Linked DNA regions of Elephas maximus indicus. The protein of the gene in region 1 interacts with the protein of each later gene in a biochemical or structural test. Links are inferred from orthologs where the notes say so. Each region holds a gene or a part of one and is shown on either strand. Other genes may lie near its edges.

Region 1 (6,943 bases):
GATACAGGCGCATGGGCAAACTGCGGATCTCGCCGGTAGGGGGCTTAGGGCTGACACATCCCCACCCCCAGCCCTCCCCTGGGAACCTCCAACCTCCCAGCTTCCAGCCCCCGATAGCCAAGAGCTGAAGAAGCCAGGTCCGAGGGCTAAAGCAGCGCCAAGTCTGCAGGCGCTGCGGTGACCTTGGTACCGGAATGGTGAAGGGAGTAGATGTGGGTTCCTCGCCCGGGCGTGGCGAGTTCCCAGCCGCCGGACACAAATGCCCTTTTTCATAATCAGTAAAGCCCGGCGCTCCGCCTGCTTGGCTGGCAGAGATTCGGCACAGACAGCCTGGAGTTCGAGTGCTCAAAACTTGGTGGTGCATCCCCAGTGTCCGCACCTCTCTCCTTCTCTGCTCTAAGGGCTGAGTTCACTCCGAGTTCGAGGTGGTCAAGTTGGGGAGGGGGTGGCTGCAGCACCACCCTTGCTGGCGCCTCTGCCCACTCTCACGTATTCCTGAGGCCCCTGGTCTCAGATTGAGCTGTCCCCCAAGGCGAGTCCCCAGGTGCCTGGCCGTGCCACAGTGTGCACCAGGCCCGCGGCGTAACCCGCATGGGAACCGAACGCTGGGAGCCTTGCCGGGAATGTACCGACATTCCAGACGCGTGTGAGCTCCCAGGAAGGCAGAAGCGGGATTTCGCTAGCGCTGTGCTCCCAAACCCGGTTGCCCGGAACCAGAGAAATGCGTGAGGCGGAGGTCTCCACCGCCTTGCCGCAGTCTACTCTGCACTCAAACGGCCGCACTGGGGGCTTCCGCCGTTAAGGGTCCACGACCACCCCCTTCCCCACCTGCTCCTCGTAGCCACAGCTATCAGCCCCGGTCTGGAGCTCTTGGTCGTTGGTCAAGCTTGGGTATTATTCCAAACCCCCACGTACCCACCGATAAAACTTGAGGGGCACGTTGAAGGGAGGTTCAGCGCCCGCTTCTCCAGCAAGAGCTCCACAAAAAGGTTGCTACAGGCGTTTCAGAGCCCGCGACACAGAGCGCGCGGGGGCGGGGGAGGGGGGGAGGCGGCGGGAAGCGAGCGTCTCCTGGGTCCAGACAGAGTAAGACATTTTTGGTGGAAACCACAGAAGCTCATTTATAAGGGGCTACAGGGGCCATGGAAAGGAATGAGGCAGGCGATACAATGAGCCTTTAAAAGAAACCTGGGGTCTGCAGAAAGAAGAAAAAAAAAATCAGCCGAGAAAACCCGGAGATACCGTCTAGCTAAGTGTAGGAACGCGGGCTGCAGCGCGTCTCCCGACGCTGCCGCATAGGAGGGGACGCACGCCGGCCAGGGGTTGGGTAGTAAGTTCTTTGGGCCTCGACATGTTTTCAGACCCTGGCTGTAGCGGGGTACGGGAGTGTCCCTCTAATCGCCAGTCCCACGCCAGAGAAGGGGGAGCGAGGAAGAAAACACCCAGGCGTTTTGACGGCACCTGTCGGACCTGGGCTGGCAGGAGTGACCGGCTCCCACGCCCGTCCCCCAGTCTCCGCGACCTCCCCGGGCCCTCAGCGTGCTCCCTTGGACTGCGGTGGGCGACAGTCAAAGGGCCCAGGGACCGGCCCCCACGCGAGTGCTCTCCGCGAGTCCACAGCCATGGAGCGGGCAGTGTGCCTGCCATGAAGGGTCGGGTGTGTGTGGAGAGCCGCGGAGAGCCGAAGGTTGGGGCCGGGGCTTGGGGCGCGCTCCCTCTCACCTCGCTCGCTGGCCTGGATGTAGCGCATCAGGTCGTCCAGGTCCAAATCTTTGGTCTCGTCAAAACTGTAGGCGGACGTGTGCAAGCCCTCCTCCTGAAAGACCTCGTGGACCCCCTCGAGGGTGAAATAGCAGTTCCGCTCCAGCTTGTCGTCGCTGTAAACCAGCGCCGCGCGGCTCCACTGGTGGTGGCGGAACAGAGCGAGCAACATCTCGCCCATCTTGGCGTAGGCGGGCGCCACACGCGTGAGGTGCGAGTACTCGGTGTCCTTGTGCTGGAAGCCAGCGGCCAGTGCCCCCGCCGACAGCATGGGTAGGTTCCAGTGCGACGCCAGCCGGGCTACAGGCGCCGCCGCGTACTCGCACACGGGCCCCAGGATGAGATCGGGCTTGGCGCCTTGCGCCGCTGCCACGCGGTCCACCAGGCTGAAGAGCGCGCGGTTACCGCAGTCCGAGTCCTCGTAGGCCACCTGGAAGCGGGTGCCGGGCGGCAATAGCCGCTGCCCGGTCCCGTTGCCCTCCACGCTGCGCAGCGCGTACTCGATGGCCGGTCGTACACGGGCCAGGGAGAACAGGTACGAATCGTCCTGCGGCAGCAGCACCAGCACCTCGATCTTCTGCGGGGGCAGCGCCTCTCCCTCCCGGCGCCCGGGGCCTGGGCCCGCGCCCCCGCGGTCACCGCCACCCGTGGCGCCGGCCAGCACCGCCCAGCCTAGCAGGACGCACGCGGAGAAAGTGAGCACCAGCAGAGACGGCATCGTGCCGCAAGCTAGCGCCTGCCCTGGCCGCCGACTCGCCCTCTGCCCCTCACCCACCCTGCCGCGCCCCTCCCCAATCTTCTCTCCGAGGTCCCTGCGCCCCCTTGGGCGCTATGAGAAAACAGAATTCCCCCCTTCGCTAGCTCGCCAGAAGATAAAGAGGAAGAGTCCTTCTCTGCAATGTCTGTAGTTTAAAAAAAAGAAAAAAGAAAAAGTTCACTGCGTGTAAACCTGTGCTCCTGTAATATCTTTATATACTTATTATAAATATATATATTCGCCCTCCCTGTACATATACTATTTTGCTTAGAAGTGGCTTCTTATTTGGGCGTTGCTGAGATTGCTTTTGAAAGCATATTTGTAAAAGAAAAAAAAGTTAGACTTGTCCAAGTGCTTGTAATTGACGGTGCATCTCCCTCGCGTTTGATCTCATTGATTCGCGCCGGTTCCTGGATCCATAGCCCGCGTTTAAATAGCGTGGCAGCGGCGGAGCGTGTTGCCACACAGGGCGCGCCGAGGCCGGACTTGTATTTCCAGCGGGTGGGGTGTTGGGGGTGGGAAGAGGTGGGGGGCTGGGCTGGGGGAGCCTCTCATTAACATTCTTACATCAAGGCTCCTCCCCGCACCCCTACCCTTCTCACTGCCCTCCCCACTCCCCGACACAAACACACCAGCGACCTTACGCCCTGCTCCCCTGCAGCCCTGTTCTTTTCCTTAAAGCCGCAACCGCCCAAGTCTGCGCCGAGAGAAGCCCCCAACGCCGCGCGCTACCACGATCGCCACCTCTCCGCTGCCCCGCGTGCGGCAGCCCACTCTGCAGCTCCCTGCCTTAAAAAAGAAAATATGTTTGGAAGTAAAGAAATGTTCTCGCCGTACCCACACACACTGTGCCAAAAAAAAAAAAAAGGATTGGGGAAGGGGTGGTTCTAGAAATAGGTGGTTTCCGTGCAAAAATTCCTAAGTCCCGGTCGCTCTCACCTCTTTCTAGCGCTGACCACATTGGCTCCTGACGCGCCGACTCCGAAAAGGCACCCGACCATCTCGGTCTCCCGGCGCAAGGTCAGCAAGCGGAGTCCAAGGCTCCAGTGCAGACGACTCACCGACCTGGGACACCGACCGCGCGGGGCTGACAAGGGCGGACCCCACACCTCCCTCTCTCCGGCTCCCGCCCCCTCCTTTCGGTCGCGGGGTTTCGCTCTGGTTTGGCAGCGGTGCCAGGGTGCCGGGGCCCCTGCGAACAGACTCTCCGCTAGAGCAGTTCCAGCGGGAAAATGAAAATTGTTCCCAAAGGAGTGGCCGCTAGCGAGCGGTTCGGCTTCTGGAGGTGACAAAAAACTTGAAAGGTATCCCCAAGACATCTTCGGGACTTTGGTTGCTACATCAGGTAACTAAATAAAAGGACCGTCTCCCCACAAGTTTCCCCCTAGGGTCGCCTGGGTGCGGCGCAGCTTCTCTCCAGCCCGCGCCCTGGGAAATCCAACCGTTTCTCCCTCCTTAGGGACGCGCGAGACGCTGTGCTCGATGTTCGGCGATGCCAGGAAAGGTCCTGCCTCCGAGACCCAGTCCTGCCACTGGTCGCAGTCACAGCAGCAGTACAGACAAGGATAGAAACAGTCGCGGAAAAGCCTGTGGCCAGAGGCTCCTCGCCGGAATCCGCTGCGCGGTGGAGCAGGTCTTAATGGAACTTGACCGTCTCAGTGTGGTGATACACCGAGGCTATTTGCAATGTGAACGTGCTACATTGGACGGAAGAATTTACACACTTAAGTCTGGCAAATTAAAATAAATTGAAAATGTTTTAAAATGTTCTTTCCTTTGCCTGGGCTTCGGTGTCCACAAATTTCAGAAAGTCTTAGACCAACGCCCTCTTTCGGCAGAAACGTGCACCCGACTCTTAACCCGGGTGCCACAGCCCCCAGGCGCTGCGTTTTTTAACTCAGGAGCCCTGAAGAGCTCTCGCTTTCATGTGTGACCTTAAGAAAGCAAATCGGGGTTTCGGGGGATGTGCGAGGTTTAGACATCGGCCCTCGCCGCTGTTACTAGCACCCTCCTCAGGTCTCTTTCTGGTACCGCAAATTAATTCTGGGTGCAGCTTCAGCCTCTGGGTCGTTTTGATTTCAGATTATACACTGTGATCCCTGAGTCTTCACTGTAAATTGTTGTTGTTAGTTGCAGTGGAACCTCATCCGACTCATGGACACCCCGTGTGTGCAGAGTAGAACTACTCCGTAGGGTTTTCAAGGCTGTGACCTTTCCCAAGCAGATCACCAGGCCTGTCGTTCCAGGCGCCTCTGGGTGGGTTTGAACTGCCAACCTGTCGCCTAGTAGTGGAGAACTTAAGCCCTTGTGCCACCCAGCTTCTAATTCCTGCCAGGACTTTTACTTAATTAGAGCTGCTAAGAAGCATCAGTTAAAAGTTTAATTCTACGAACTGGATAATCCACAGACTCTGGCAATCGAGAGCCTCGCAGCAATTGAATCCTTCCTGAATCCCTTAGAGGAGGGCAGGCATTTTATGGGATCATAGATTTAAAAAAAGAACAAGGGCTAAATTCCTAATTCCAGAAGTCTTAATGGATTTCAAATCTGGTTGCCAGGAGACGCAAAGGAACACGGGGTTTCCTATTTCTCCCCGGAATGCCCTGTGTCTCCAACGCGAGCCAAAGGCGATATAATTCTGCACAGTGTGTGGTGTGGGCTTTTGCGGAGAGGCTGGGGTTTCAGTGACACCGGGCGTAAATGCCTCTCCCCTCCCAGGCGCTGCCCAGCCTCACCGAAGGTCAGGAGCAGGACAGTGCGTTTACGTTTTGGGTGAGTACCACAGCCTGCCCGAGATCTCTGGGTAGGAGCTCTTCCCGCTTGTGACCTAGAACGCAAACAAGATGAAGCTGTGGAAGCAGAGTCCCCTAACTAGACAGCAAAAAGAGAGCCAGTGCTCAAAATATCCCCACAAAAACGTCCCATGAGCAGAAATGAGGATTGTGGAAGAATATTTTTCAAATAAAAATAAGCACAAAATTATAGGAAGACCCACCAAGGAATATCAGCATATGGCATTTTAATGTCATGGGTTTATTTACTTTGATCAAGCTTGATTTCTAGCAACCAGCTAAAAGTTAGTGTAAATATCACGGCGTTCTAAAATCTTAGGGCTGGAAAAGATCTTAAGTCACTAGGCCTGACACCGCTCACTCTGTAGATAAGGAATTGAGGCCCAATGACTACAAATGACATAGCTAAATACCTCTTCATTGCCTGAGAACATTTTTAATGGGACCGGATTAGAAATAAAGCATGTATCACCTATTATACCACTTATACCACGTAGAAAAGGGTTGAGGAAAAAGCTAACCCTGACCTTAAATAATAGCCTTTTTATATCAACAATTTGTATGTAGCTAAGTTTTGAGAATATACAGCAAAGCATAACTGAAAATTAGTAACAAGTCATAACAGAATTTTTTGTAGCACCATAATCATAAAGATGAACCAAAATAAATAAGATTGAAAAAAAAGGAAAAGAAATAGAAACAACTCATCCCTTAAGCTCAATTTTTATATACTCTTCCTTTCAGTGCTATAAAACACAGGAATGGCGGTGGGGGGGAGGGGAACAGCACTTTTTTTTTAACATTCAAAAGGATGCTAACTGCTTCACTGAGTGCATCCTTTCTGGCTAATATTAGTGAATAATAGTAAAGAAAAATTATGGGGACATTCTGGAAAAGAAAAATAAGATTAGTCAATTGAAACTTAGATGCAATGTTAGCCCTATACATGCTATTCCAGAAACTAATAGGTTTTTTTATAGACTTTAGAAACGACTTCATCAATACACATAAACTATGATTTTCTAACTTTTAGCTACCAAAATAAGGTGGCAAGTTTTCTAGAAAGAACTTTGTTTTCCAACTCTATGAAATGAAACATAGTATCTATATGTCATCCCTCTGTCACCAGGAAAGGCAGCACCATATAGGGAAACTCAACATGTGATAGTACGAAATGTATTAGAAAAGCTATCAGGAAGAGGTTTGCTCCACCAACTGTCATAGGCCATATTTATCTCCTCTCCTCAGAATCCTGGCCACAATCACTAACATAAAAGCCCCTCCAGATTTTCAAGGAGAGCTGCTGCTGCTTCTCCCTTGTCAAGCCAGCCCTGAAGTCACATTTAAGAACATCCCTGGGAAGCCTCTCGCCCACAAAGAAAATACTTCTGGGGACAGAATTGTTGAAAACACACTTCCCCCTAGAGGCAGAAAAGATGAAAGAATATTACACATAATTCAAGAACATTTCTATAATGTAATGAGCACTGAGATTTTCTTTTGAACATATAGTTGCTGTTTTAGAGGGAACCATTGGAGGCGAGAGGGGAAAATCAATGGATGCCCAAAAATTAAATTAAAACTTTGCCTCCAGGTTTTAGCTTTCCTGACCAGTGACTCTGTTACTTTCCCT
Region 2 (5,788 bases), on another chromosome or scaffold:
TCCCAATCTCTGCCATTTTAGCTTAGACCTTCTGGAAACAACAGTCACCAAGGAGAGTACCTCTAATGGTGGAACTCCGGGCAAAGGGCTGACTAGTGGGGCAGACTTGCGGACATACACCCTCACTTGTGTGACTCTGTTGTGTGAATCTGTCGTGCCCATTTCTCTCCCAGGAAGAAACGGCCCTGCTTTGAAAAGCAGTTTCTGCCAAGTGTCTCAAGTGCTTGAGATGTTTGTAGACATTTCAGAGCGTGAAAAACCCTTAAAGAAAGACACCCTCCCACCCAGCTTAACCAGCCCTTAAGGCTAGTGTCCCCACCTCACCATCAAGACGCCTTCAAGAAAACACAGGGTTTTGTTCTGTTTTTTGGAAATTATTCTTTTAATGCCCAGAGACAAATTAGTTTCAAAAGATAACACTATAATGTTGACTTTATTTCTCCATGGAAATCGTGTGCTCAAAAGTAAGAAACCATCTTTGTAAAATAACCAAATAAATAAAGATAAATAAATAGGAGTCATTGAAGGGGATCACAGGGTTGGGGAAAGACCAGCTGGAGGATCAGAGGCAGATGCCTGAGGCCAGGACTTCCTCTTAAGGGCTCCCCAGCACTGTGGGGAGAAGAGAGAGAGTGATTATATCTTTAGGCTAGAAGACTGAGGCAGGATCTGAGTGTCCCCTCACCATGTCCCGTCCCTGCCACCCACCCCCAGCCCTTGGCTGATTTTGATGTTTGAAGCCTTGGAACAATTGATCTCTGTGGGTGGGCCTCATTTTCTTCATCTGTAAAGTGGGTGTAATAGTAGCCCTGAGAAAACCAGGAGAAAGGATATCTGGGGCCCTTCCAGATAGGGGCTGCCAGACAATGAATGGGGTCCACTCTAAGTTAATTCTGCCCCTTTTGGTAAGAGAGATGATGAGAGGTGGGTGGGGCTCATGAGGATGGCAATGAATGGTGCCCGTATTTAATATTTCTAGAAAGGCACCCCTTGACCCTAAGGTCTCAGCAAGAGGGAGTGATGTGTCCAGGTGCCCTTTTTGCAAAGACTGTGGCCCCCATAGGGTTGTTATGGGTCAGAATCCACTCTACAGCAACGGGTTTGGTTTGGGTTTTTTGGTGGCCCCCAGAAACAAAAAACCCAGAAGTGTATGGAAGTGTGGACAGTGTAAGAATGGGGTGGGTGTGCAGCATTCCTGTTGAGTGCTAAGTTGGGGACTCACCATTGCAGCGCAGGCGGCTGTGGAAGCCAATGCGGTCCATCTTCCCCCCAAAGCAGCCAGAATCGCTCATCATCTTGGGGCTGGGTAGTCTCCCCTGGGCCTCAGGGATTTGAGGCTGGGGGACACCCATCGGGGATACCTCCTGGGCCTCCCCGGCTTCGACAGGGCCATGGCCCTGCTGGAGGGGCTCCAGGATCACTGGCTCCGTCTGCACCTCAGAGACCGTGACCTCCTGGGCCTCCCCGGCTTCGACAGGGCTATGGCCCTGCTGGACGGGCTCCAGGATCACTGGCTCCGTCTGCACCTCAGAGACCGTGTCCTGCAAATGGTCCAACAGCTTCTGTGATGGGTGGGGAGCCCGAGCCTCAGTAACCCCCACTCCCTCAGCACCCCCTCCATGGAGCACATGTGAACCAACTGCTTGGGTAGGGTGTCCTAGCACCCAGTCTCACTGCTTCCTGATTCCTTTTTCACTAACTCCCACAGGAAGGTGGGGATTCCTTGGAACAAGAGGTGTGGACCAGTTCTTTGCTGCTACAGGAACACTCTCCCAGCTGGCTGTATCTACAGTTTCGCAGTGCTCACCTGTAACCCGGGCAGTTCCAAGTCCAGGTCAGGGCCACCTAGAGGGTGGGAATGACCTCCCGGAGGCGACAGGTGCAGGAACAGGAGGAGCAGAAGTGCCCGGGTCAGCGCGGTCTGGTCCATGTCGAAGAGCCAGGCGGGGGTTACTGCTGCTGTGGCTGCTCAGAGCCCCGGTTGCAGTCCCACCTGTTGAGGTCCACAGGCGCTCTCCTGGCTTCCTGGGCAACCACAGCCTTTTATCCCCGTGCTGGGAGCAGGGTCTGTCCTGCCCTCCTGGGTTATCTGTGCTTTATCAGCTGCATTCCGACCCGCTGATCTCAGGGCCCAGGCATGCTCCCTTCAGGGTCTGGTACTAGTACTCCCTGGGGGTGGAGGCTGGGGAGGACAGGCCTTGTACAGAAATGGGCAGGGCCCGGACGGGAACTCGTGGTGGACACCAACAGGTTCCTTGTCTCTCCTGATTCTTTCTTTCCTGCAAAAATCCAAGGGCCAAGGCATGGCTCCATCTCCTCCGCTCTCCACCCCCAAGCATTCCTGGAGAGGGTAGGAAGAACTCCAGCATCCTAAAGTTCGACGCTAGCGCGGGGAGCACGGTGACTCAGAGTGAGAACAACGCCAAACACCGGACATCTCCCCCACCTCCCCTCCCGCCTGTAACTCAGCAATTCGCCGGAGTTCCTACGCCCAGCCCGGCTGCGAGTACCGGAGCGCCGACCGCTGTCCGTGGTGCTGACCTCGAACTTTGCTCAAACTCTACTCATGAAGTCTGGTTCTCATGGGGTTTCCCGCCCAGAAAGACCTGCACGGGGCAGGGGCAAGAGATCTCTAAGACCCCTTCTCACCGTCTTACTCCCACTCCCCTCGAGCCTTACAGCACTGGGATGCTGACCCCCCCAATATCATCTAATTAAATGCCTGGGTATGACAAGGAACTTCTGGAATGTTGACCTTTCTTCTATCCCTTAAAGGGTAGAGCTGATTCGGCTGGAATTTTGAGAGGCAAGGCCCCTGAGATGAAGTCATCCAGGAATGCCTTCTATCGCTGGTCCTCCAGTTGCCAACACCTCCTCTCCTCCACCAACCAAGACACATGATGGAAAAAGAGGTGATGGGTGGAAGGATGGTTATCTATTTGGTGGGACAAGGTGTATGGAGAGTCCCCCCCAATTCCTCCTCCATATGATTATTCATTACCTAATTCCCATTAGCAGATGGGAGCACAGGTGGACTTGCCACCTGTAATCAGAAATAGGGCTCCAAAAATTGGCTCTGGGAAGAGAAACAGCTGCTTAAACCTCCCCTAAAGTGTGCATGACTAATGTCAACACCCTTCCAGAGAATTTATGTTAACAAGAAGCAGGGTGAATGTATAGGGCTGTACAGGAAGGAAGATAAGTTATGACAGATGGGGGGAAGGGCAGCAAGAAGCTTGGGCCCCTAAGCAACTCTTGCCTAAAAAAAGCAGTTGCCAAGTGTTAAGTAGGAAAGAATACTGATATTCCCACTTTTCAGATGAAGAAACAACTCAGAGGAATTTATCACCTTTCTTAAGGCCACACAATTGACAAGTGGTGAAGCCCGGATTCCAATCCAGGCAGTCTGATTCCAGACCTGAAGCTCTTAATCACTGCTAGGGTGACTGCAAAGGGTTTCTACTAGAAAAAAAATTAATTCATTGTCATCTGTGAAGGTATAGGGAGCTGTGCTAGAGGGGGTGGGGTGAGTCTGGTGGCTGTGTGTGCAGGGGAAGGATGTTAACTGTGGGTAAGATGAGTGTTTTACAGATGAGGATGGGAGAGGGGGAAGGGTTAGGAGGTTCTAGGGGCTGGGCCAGTGTGTGTGTGTGTGCACATGCATACCACAAGAGGAATATCCAAAGATTCACTGAGAATAGAGGGGAGGCAACAGAATCCAACAAAGTGAAGAGCTGAGTAGAGGACTGGGAACTGCAAAGAGTGTAGAGGGTCCCTCACATTGGGCATCATGAAGGGAAGGGTCGGGAGAAAGACAGCAGCCAACCAGCACCTCTCAAGCACTGACACTATCTAGCCTGAACCTTACTTTTCTCTTCTGCAAATTGGGTATAATGGTGCTCTGCATCCTTGGAAGATAAATAAAAGTGAGAAAATGATGTCTGTAAAAGACTTTGGCAGTGTGAAAAGAACCAAATAATTAGAAATATGTGTGAGAGTTGGTCCCTACACCAAAGGATTTGTGATATTGCTGAGAAGACAGAGTAACTCCAGGGGAAACAATTAAGTGCTAAACACTCTGACAGAGCCTCCACCTGCCCCATCAGGCCAGGAAGGAGCCATCCCAGTGAAGGGGATTGTGGAAGATTTTAGAGAAGACACTGAACTTAATACTGAGTGTGCCTACTGTATGCCATACACTTTCCAGCTCTATTAATTGAGGGTAATGATATCACATATGTCATAGCATTACTGTACAAGGATTAAATTAGATGGTACATGTGGCAGGCTCAGTAACATTCCCCCAAAGGTGTCCAAATCCTAATCCCTGGAATTTATGATTATGTTAACCTTACATGGTAAAAGGGACTTTGCAAATGTGCTTAAGAATCTCAAGATGGGGAGTTATCCTGGATTATCTCGCTGGGCCCAATGTAATCACAAGGATCCTTATAAGACGGAGGCAAAAGGATCAAAATCATTGAGAGAAGACATACGAATAGAAGCAGAGGTCAGAGAGGAGAGAAGATGCCACGCTGCTGGTTTTGAAGATGAAGGAAGAGGCCACCAGCCTAGGATTGCAGGTGGTATCTAGAAGCTAGAAATAGCAAGGAAATGGATTCTCTCCTAGCATCTCCAAAAGGAACACCTTGATTTTAGCCCATTGAAACTGATTTCAAACTTCGGGTCATCAGAACTGTAAGATAAATTCGTGTTGTTTTAAGCCACTAAGTTGGTGGCAACTTGTTACAGCAGCAATAGGAAACTAATACGGTCTATGTAAAATGCTGAGCATAGTACCTGGCACATAGTAAGCCCTCAGTAAAGGCTGTTGCGGTGACAGTGGTAGCTCAACCCACAGGCAACTCACCTCCTTCCTGGCGAAGGAAAGGTTAAGGGCACATCTCAGCTCAGAGCCACCAACCTGGAAATGAGATGTGACAATCATTCTCTGTTGCTGCTAGTTCAGCAGGGAGCTGGGGTCTGCCCCCAGTGTCCTATGGGGTGGGGGCAAGACCACAGTGATGCTACACTTGACCTCCACAGGCCTGATCGGGCCACCTGGCTTGGCCCAGGCTAAGCCTGATTTGGGTGGCACAGGCCCACCAACTAAAGGACCAGTTTGGGTTCCAGGGACACAGAAAAGCCAGGTACAGGAGTCCCTGGAGAGATGCTGTGTGGCCCACACAGGCTGATCCTGGGGCAGCAGCTGACTTCGCAGGTAGGAGCAGACCCTGGACAGGCTTGGCCCCTGGCCCTTCCCATTCTAGGGTTCCCTACTTAACCCATCCTCTCCTTCTGCCTAGACTGGCATTAACAAGCATCTGCCGGGGGCTGCTGTCCTGGGGCTTCCTGTACCTGTACACTTCCTGCTGCACACCTGTGAGGAGCACACCAGCACCTCCAATTCTGTGCTCCAGCTGGGGCTTACTCATACTAAAAGAGTATCTGTTGTTTACCTGAAATTCAAATTTAACCAGATGTCGTGTATTCCTATTTGCTAAACTGGCCAACCTGTGGTGGAGTGAGGGTCAAGATTGCCTGCTTGCTACAGAGTTTATAAAGAATATGTTCTACATTCTACTTTGGTGTGTAGTGTCTAGGGTCTTAAAAGCCTGTGAGCGGCCATCTAGGATACTCCACTGGTATCACCCCTTCGGGAGCAAGGAAGAATGAAGAAAACTAAAGACATAAGGGAAAGGTTAGTCCAAAGGACTAATGGACCACATCTACCACGACCTCCACCAGACTGAGTCCAGTACAACTAGATGATGCCGGGCTACCATCA
Region 3 (6,638 bases), on another chromosome or scaffold:
TGGGGCAGTTCTACCCTGTCCTATAGGGTTGCTATGAGCCAGGATGGACTTGATGGCAACGAATTTGGTTTGGTTTGGTGGATGTGAGCAAATGCAAACTAAACTTTCTCCTGGGCATTTCTCAGGATCGTGACTGAGGTTAGAACGAAAAGCAGAGCAGGTTGAGAACTGTAGTTTGAGGCCAAAGAAAAAAGGGAGGGAGGGAGGAAGGAAAGAAAAGAGAAAAAAAAACCTGAGCATTCTTCTGACAAAGGGTAAAATGACAAGGAATAAAAAAAGCCTTGTTGCCTTCAAGTCAATTCCAACTCACAGAACAGAGCAGAACTGTCCACATAAGGTTCCCAAGGCTGTAATCTTTATGGAAGCAGACTGCCACATCTTTCTCCCTCAGAGAAGTTGGTGGGTTCGAACCACCAACTGCTGATTTTTCAGTTAGCAGCCATACGCTTAACCACAGCACCACCAGGGCTCCTTTGACAAGGTAAATTGGGCTGGATTCTCTTCCCCTGGAAACGAAAGAAATCACACCAACCCAAGCCATTGGCTTCTGTCCATGGTGCTGACATTTATTCATTTTCAAACCGCTTTCAGTAGCAGGTGGGGTGTATCCTAAAAGTTAATGGCATGGGGGTAGGAGAGGCGGGGGAAGACACAATTAACCCATTTTATCTACAGTTAGCATAAAATATGAGAAACGTTGACCAGAAGCTGCTGCTGGAACAGGTGCTCGTCAACTCGATGGCCATGGGGTAGGACAAGGTTGAGTGAGAGATCCCAGGGGGTGAGGGTCTCGGAGTCTGCCTGGGTCTGGGCCACCTTTTCTTCCCTGGCCATTATCTTCGGTACTACAAAAAGAACACAGACATGTTGGGCTCAGTGACCAGCTCTACAGGAAAAGTCAGCTTTGGATGACAGTGCTACATCTCTGAACTAGACCTCTGACCAGTTACTTCTACCAGCTCCCATGCTCACCCTGATGACTCTCTGAGTTTCAAGAACTGGTAAACAAGTTACTCATTAGCAGCTAGTGAGGGCAGCCCTTGTCAATTTCACTTGATCTTTTGGAATCTTGCAATTCTGGGAAGGAACATGAATGCCAATCAGCAGTACAAAGATGACTTGGGCCTATGAACATTTTAATTTCTCTGTGCTAGTGGCAGTAGGAATGAGCCCTGGTGGTGCCGTGGTTAAGCACTTGGCTGATAACTGAAAGGTCGGCAGTTCGAACTCACCAGCCACTGCGAGGGAAAGCCTGCTTCCATAAAGATTTACAGCCTTGGAAACCCTATAGGACAGTTATACTCTGTCCTATAGGGTTGCTATGAGTCAAAATCCACTTGACAGCAATGGAGAAAAGGGTAGTGGCAGTAGCTGAGGATGATGGCATTTGTCCTGAAGGGCCACCCACCAAGTTAGGGCAGAAATTTCAAAGGGAACAAGCCTTTATGCTGGCTCCTTTCCTGCTGAAAGTGTCCCCTGGTTGTGTTCTTTGACAAGGTTTCAGCTTCAACAAAGCCACAATCTCTTTCCTCCCCACCCCATTTCTACCCCCACTCCTCTTACCCGGAAACTGTTGCAGCCGAGGCCACTCTGGGATCCAATCCTGTCAATCCTGCCCCCGAAGCAGCTGGACCTCCGCAGGCTCCGAGGGGCAGTGAGTAGTGCCCTCAGCTTGTTTTTCAGGAGGGCAGATCTTTCGGAGGAGTCCCAGGGGCCCCTCCCAAGAGCACCCCCATCTCGCTGAGCTGGGCTGACCTCCCTGGTCCAGGGAGGCACCTCAGGCAGGGGGTTGACAGCCACCCCAGCCTCATCATTCTGCTCGTTTAGTACTTGCGGGGGCACGACCTCATCTTCTAAAGGCATCTTGTCCTCCAAATGGTCCAGCAAATTCTTTACAAAAGGAAAATACAGGGAAAGGGAAAGTTCTCATGGGCTCGGAGAAAATCACCAGAAATAGGCACAGTATCAGAAAGCCCCTTGGTCCCAGGCTAAGCCCCCTTTCTTGGCCCTACCTTGAAATCCATCAGGTCTGCATTGGACACGGAGGTGTACACAGGGTTCGCTCTGATTTGACCTGGGAGTTGAAATGCCAGGAAAAGGAGGAAGCACACAGTGATGGTGGAGAAGGAGCCCATGCTGGCGTTGGCCAAGAGCTGGTCTGGTGCTTGCTGCGTCTTCTCCTTCCTCTCTGGGTTCCTTCTCGTGGTCTTCGTCCGTCTCTGCCTACCAGCTGCCCTGAGCCGCCTCCTTTTATAGCCCCCCCAGCTCTCCGAGAGCACAAGAGGGATGGAACCCTCCCCATTCTGTCACTTGCAGCGATAAAGCAGCTGAGTGAGGAGCCAGCAGAAGATGCCCTTTTAAAGTTATCAGCCCAGCAGAGCTTGTCCCAGCCCCTCTGCCTTGAGCAGCCCCAGCAACCCCCCAGACCCTCGGCTACAAGAGCCACATTCTTGCTGATTGGCTTCAAGAGGCTCCCACTTCAAAGGTGTGAGAAGAGCAAAAAAGAGTCCTTGGTTATCTCACAGTGATGCCTCAGGATTCTTTCTCCTCAGCAACAGGACCCATGCAGGGAAGTGAAGGGTGGCGGTTGGCCGGCGCCCAGCTCCCCCAGTTGGTTTGTGGTTCCGCTGGCAGCGGCTCCAAATAAGGGCGGGACAGGAGGAAATGGCAGGCAGCCGGCAGCTCAGGACAAATCAGCCCAGATGCTCAGGCTGGCCTCACACCTGACTCATGAGCAAGCGTGGCAGACCTCCTGCCTCTGTTTGAGACAAGACCGCCCACACTTCTGATAGTCACTCTCAGCAGTCAGGTGAAGAGGGAGCTATTTTTTAGAGTATTAAATCAGCCAGGAACCAAATGTGATGAACGTCTCAAGAATTCAGCTCCCAAATACAAACACCAAGAAAAGCTGGGGGAATCAGTCATTCCTCTTCCAAACTCTGTCTCCTTCCCATCCCCCATGATCCCATCCAAGGTGTCCAGGGAGGTAGGCACTTAGAAGATGCCGGTGTTTTTATTTCTTCACCTCACTGTTTATAGAAGCTCAGACTTGTTGAGTTTGATGCTTGTAATGGCCCCCCACCCTTCCCATGAAAGCTTTGATGGCTGGATACAATGAGGTGGGAGGCAAACCTGATGTACACAGTTTCCGTTAAAACCCACCATGTCCTTCTCCAGGGCCAGCCAAGTGACTGAACCACTTAAGGCCTCAATTTTCCTGAACCCCAAGGACAAATAATAGGCAGCGAGTCTGTCCACATTTAATGAGTGGCCCCCACATTCTAAGTGCTGAACTCGACTTTAGTATACCATTCAATGCAACGCATGTTGCTGTTGTTAGCTGTCATAGAGTTGGCTCCGTCTCATGGCGACCCCATGCACAACAGAAAGAAACATTGCCCATTCCTGCCCCATCTTGATGATCGTTGGTATAGCTGAGTCCATTGTTGTAGCCACTGTATATTTTGGGTGCCTTCCAGTCTAGGGGCTCATCTTCCAGCACTATATTGGACAATATCCTGTTGTCCATGGGGTTTTCATTGGCTCATTTTTGGACATAGATGACCAGGTCTTTCTTCCCACCCTCTTAGTCTGGAAGCTCCACTGAAACCTGTCTGCCATGGATGACTAGGCTGATATTTAAAATACCAGCGACATAGCTTGTAAACAAGCTTAGCATAGCAATATGCAAGTCACCGTTGTACAACACACTGACAGACAGCTGGCAATGCATACTGGAAGAAAAAATACTAAAACTGAAAGGTTGAGAAACCTGCATTGTAGCCCAAAAACAAACCAGTTGCATAAGTTTTTGGGACCCCCATTTCCTCATCTATGAGAAAAATATAAAAAGCTGTCCTGCCCACTTCACAGGGCAGTTGTGAGGCTCAATAGAGCCAGCACTGTGTGAAGTGTGAGATGCTATATAATTGCAAGGGGGTAGTAATGATGGTCTTTTATTGATCAGTTACAATGAGCTGGCACTCTGCTGAGAGCTTGATGTGAATTACTTGATTTTCCTCACCGCTCCCAGGAGGTGGGTAGTATTGTTCCCATTTGCAGAGAGCCAGAACTGAGACTTGGAGAGATTATGTCACTCGCCCAAGGCCATGTCATTTGCCCAATTGGCAGAACCAGGACTTGAGCCCCAGGTTTGATACTTAAGCCCATGATCTTAACCCATTTCACATGGCGGCTCATTAACAAGCCCTTGGGTGCATTTCCTGATTAAATGCCTCCCCCCACACTTGATCTCTCCCATTACCCTGAACATCTCTTGCCTCCTACTGCAGCTGGGCTTGTAGCTTTGTGTGTGGGACAAATCTCTCTGTGTTTGGCTGCTCTCCCCATTTGGATTTTCTTAAAGAAAGGGCTCATCCAGTCCCCATAATCTGTTTACACACCTAATACCAACCAGAATGCTCCTTAGGAGCTAGAATAACAAGACTTCAACTCACTTACTTTGGACATGTCATCAGGAAAGACCAATCACTAGAAAAGGACATCTACTTGATGAAGAACAAGGCCAATGAAAACAAGAGAAACCCTCAATGAGATGGAGTGAGAGAATAATCTCAATAATGGACTCAAACATACCAACGATCATTAAGATGGTGCAGAACCAGGCAATATGTAAGGTCGCCATGAATGGGAGCTGACTCAATGGCAACTAATGACAACATGGAAATTCAGAAAATGTATGTTGAACAACCAGCTCTGTCCTGGCCAAATCCTTCTGCAGCTGCACTTACTCTGTGACCAACCAGGCAGAGAGGCTGTTACACCATGAGAAGACAGGGCATTAGGGCAGTTGGTGGCCAGAGGTCCCCACAGGTGTGCAGAGTGATTTTATTGTAAGACGGAAGGAAAAAGGGATCCTCTTCAGAAAGCTTGGGGGTTTGGGTAACTTATCTGGGTCAGTCAAACTCAACTTGGCATCTGAAATGGGCCACAGTTCTGAGTAGGAGCTCTGGGAACTAAACACCCCCATACCCTGATGCGTCCCCGAAATGTGCTCACAGCATAATTGCTCGGCTGGAAGTTATTATTAGCAGAGAGGATCCAGCCTGCAGCCACGCTGGGGGGAGCTGATGCCGCGTGCGTCACACAGCCTGTCTCCTGGAGATGCCCTTTGAGATAGGCCTTTGATGGAGGAAGACTTCGAGGCCTGCATCAAGGCAGGTGGCCCCTTCTTGATGGCTCGGCCTCTGAGGGCCACGTGGCTGCTCTACCCTGAGTCATTTCTGAAGCCTGTAGGAGACTGTAGGTGGCCCAAGGTGAAGTAGAATCTCATCCAAGATTCCAGAAAGACAATTTCGGAATTTGCTCGCTTCCTTTTATTGCAGTCACTTTTCTGCTCCCAGAGTGAAACTAGAGTGGGACACAAGCATCATTTGTTGAGTTTCTTCTGCTAGTCAAATTTGTGTTTGTGTGTGTGTAAGTTTTATTATTATTATTTTTTTCTAAGACAAAGGACATTCAGGCTTCCTGCCCTGAGGGCTTTCATAGAGCCAGGACTACCACCTCCCAGGGCCCAGCGAAAACAGAAAATCCTCAAAAGCACTGATATCCCCATTAAAGCTTTTGATTTCAGCCTGAAATGGAAAATGGCTTGACATAACATTTCTCTTCACTTCCATGCCCTGCTCAACTTCGGGGTGTGTGTGGAGAGGTGGAGGAAGGGGTGTTTGGAAGCCAGTCTGTAGGAGTGAGAGAGAGAAAAAAGCAAAAGACGCAAAAAATCAGATCCACCCTCCACCCCTACCTCTCTAGCTGAAAAATCGCAAGTGTTTATTTCTTTATCACAGGCAAGAAGTTGTCTTAGTCAAATGAGAGAATGAGCAGTGCGGATGGGTAGGAGAACCCAGAGTCTGGGCGTCTCCAGTTGCTAGACCAGAGCTTGGTCTCACAACCTTCCATGGGAATGTGGGGGCTGCTGCAGGGAGCACACGTGGGCAGAACTAGCAGGAAAAACCCATCTCAGTCATAACATGATTCTGTCAGACCCAGATAGTCTAAAGCAGAAGCCCCAGTTGGGAGAAACTGTTAGGACGCCGTTGCATACTTAGGGACGGTTGTTTCTGAGTTTGAAGGTGCTGTTCTTTTTCTTGCATACAATATGGACTCACTGGGGACTGGAAGCCCAGGGCAGGTCCCAAAGTAGAACAAGGAAATAGAGAAAGCTACTTCCTCAGCTGGATAGTGACTACCATGAGAGCAGTGATTCAGCCTGGTTCACTGCCCACCTTCCCTAGGAAACAAAGCCCAAGGCAAAAGCTCACTTACTGCAGCTTTATAGGGGTTCCAATTCAAGGTAAGAAGGCATTGGTAGTTCAGTGGTAGAATTCTTACCTGCCATGTTGGAGGTTTGATTCTCAGCCAATGCACCTCATGTGCAGCCACCACCTGTCTCTCAGTGGAGGCTTGCATGTTGCTATGGTGCTGAATAGGTTTCAACAGAGCTTCCAGACTAAGATAGACTAGGAAGACAGGCTTGGCAATCTACCTCTGAAAATCAGCCAGTGAAAACCCTGTGGATCACAATGGTCCAATCCACAACTGATCATGGGGATGGTGCAGGACTGGGATTGTTTCATTTAGTTGTGAATAGAATAGAACAAAAGTCATGGGATGTCACT

The links.
Region 2: the proteins of NPR3 (region 1) and NPPB form a complex in vitro, tested with the Homo sapiens proteins (4 studies listed by BioGRID, with this or other methods). The link is inferred for Elephas maximus indicus from reciprocal best matches to the Homo sapiens genes NPR3 and NPPB.
Region 3: the proteins of NPR3 (region 1) and NPPA form a complex in vitro, tested with the Homo sapiens proteins (4 studies listed by BioGRID, with this or other methods). The link is inferred for Elephas maximus indicus from reciprocal best matches to the Homo sapiens genes NPR3 and NPPA.

What each region holds. Positions count from the first base shown.
Region 1 is NC_064820.1:37,835,600-37,842,542, reverse strand, and holds the start of NPR3 (atrial natriuretic peptide receptor 3), read right to left. Parts: upstream 3,003-6,943; 5' UTR 2,480-3,002; coding exon 1,723-2,479; intron 1-1,722. UniProt on the Homo sapiens protein: Receptor for the natriuretic peptide hormones, binding with similar affinities atrial natriuretic peptide NPPA/ANP, brain natriuretic peptide NPPB/BNP, and C-type natriuretic peptide NPPC/CNP.
Region 2 is NC_064821.1:51,724,868-51,730,655, forward strand, and holds NPPB (natriuretic peptides B), read right to left. Parts: upstream 1,931-5,788; coding exon 1,808-1,930; intron 1,563-1,807; coding exon 1,452-1,562; intron 1,362-1,451; coding exon 1,223-1,361; intron 613-1,222; coding exon 596-612; downstream 1-595.
Region 3 is NC_064821.1:51,713,239-51,719,876, forward strand, and holds NPPA (natriuretic peptides A), read right to left. Parts: upstream 2,358-6,638; 5' UTR 2,136-2,357; coding exon 2,013-2,135; intron 1,891-2,012; coding exon 1,564-1,890; intron 846-1,563; coding exon 834-845; 3' UTR 551-833; downstream 1-550.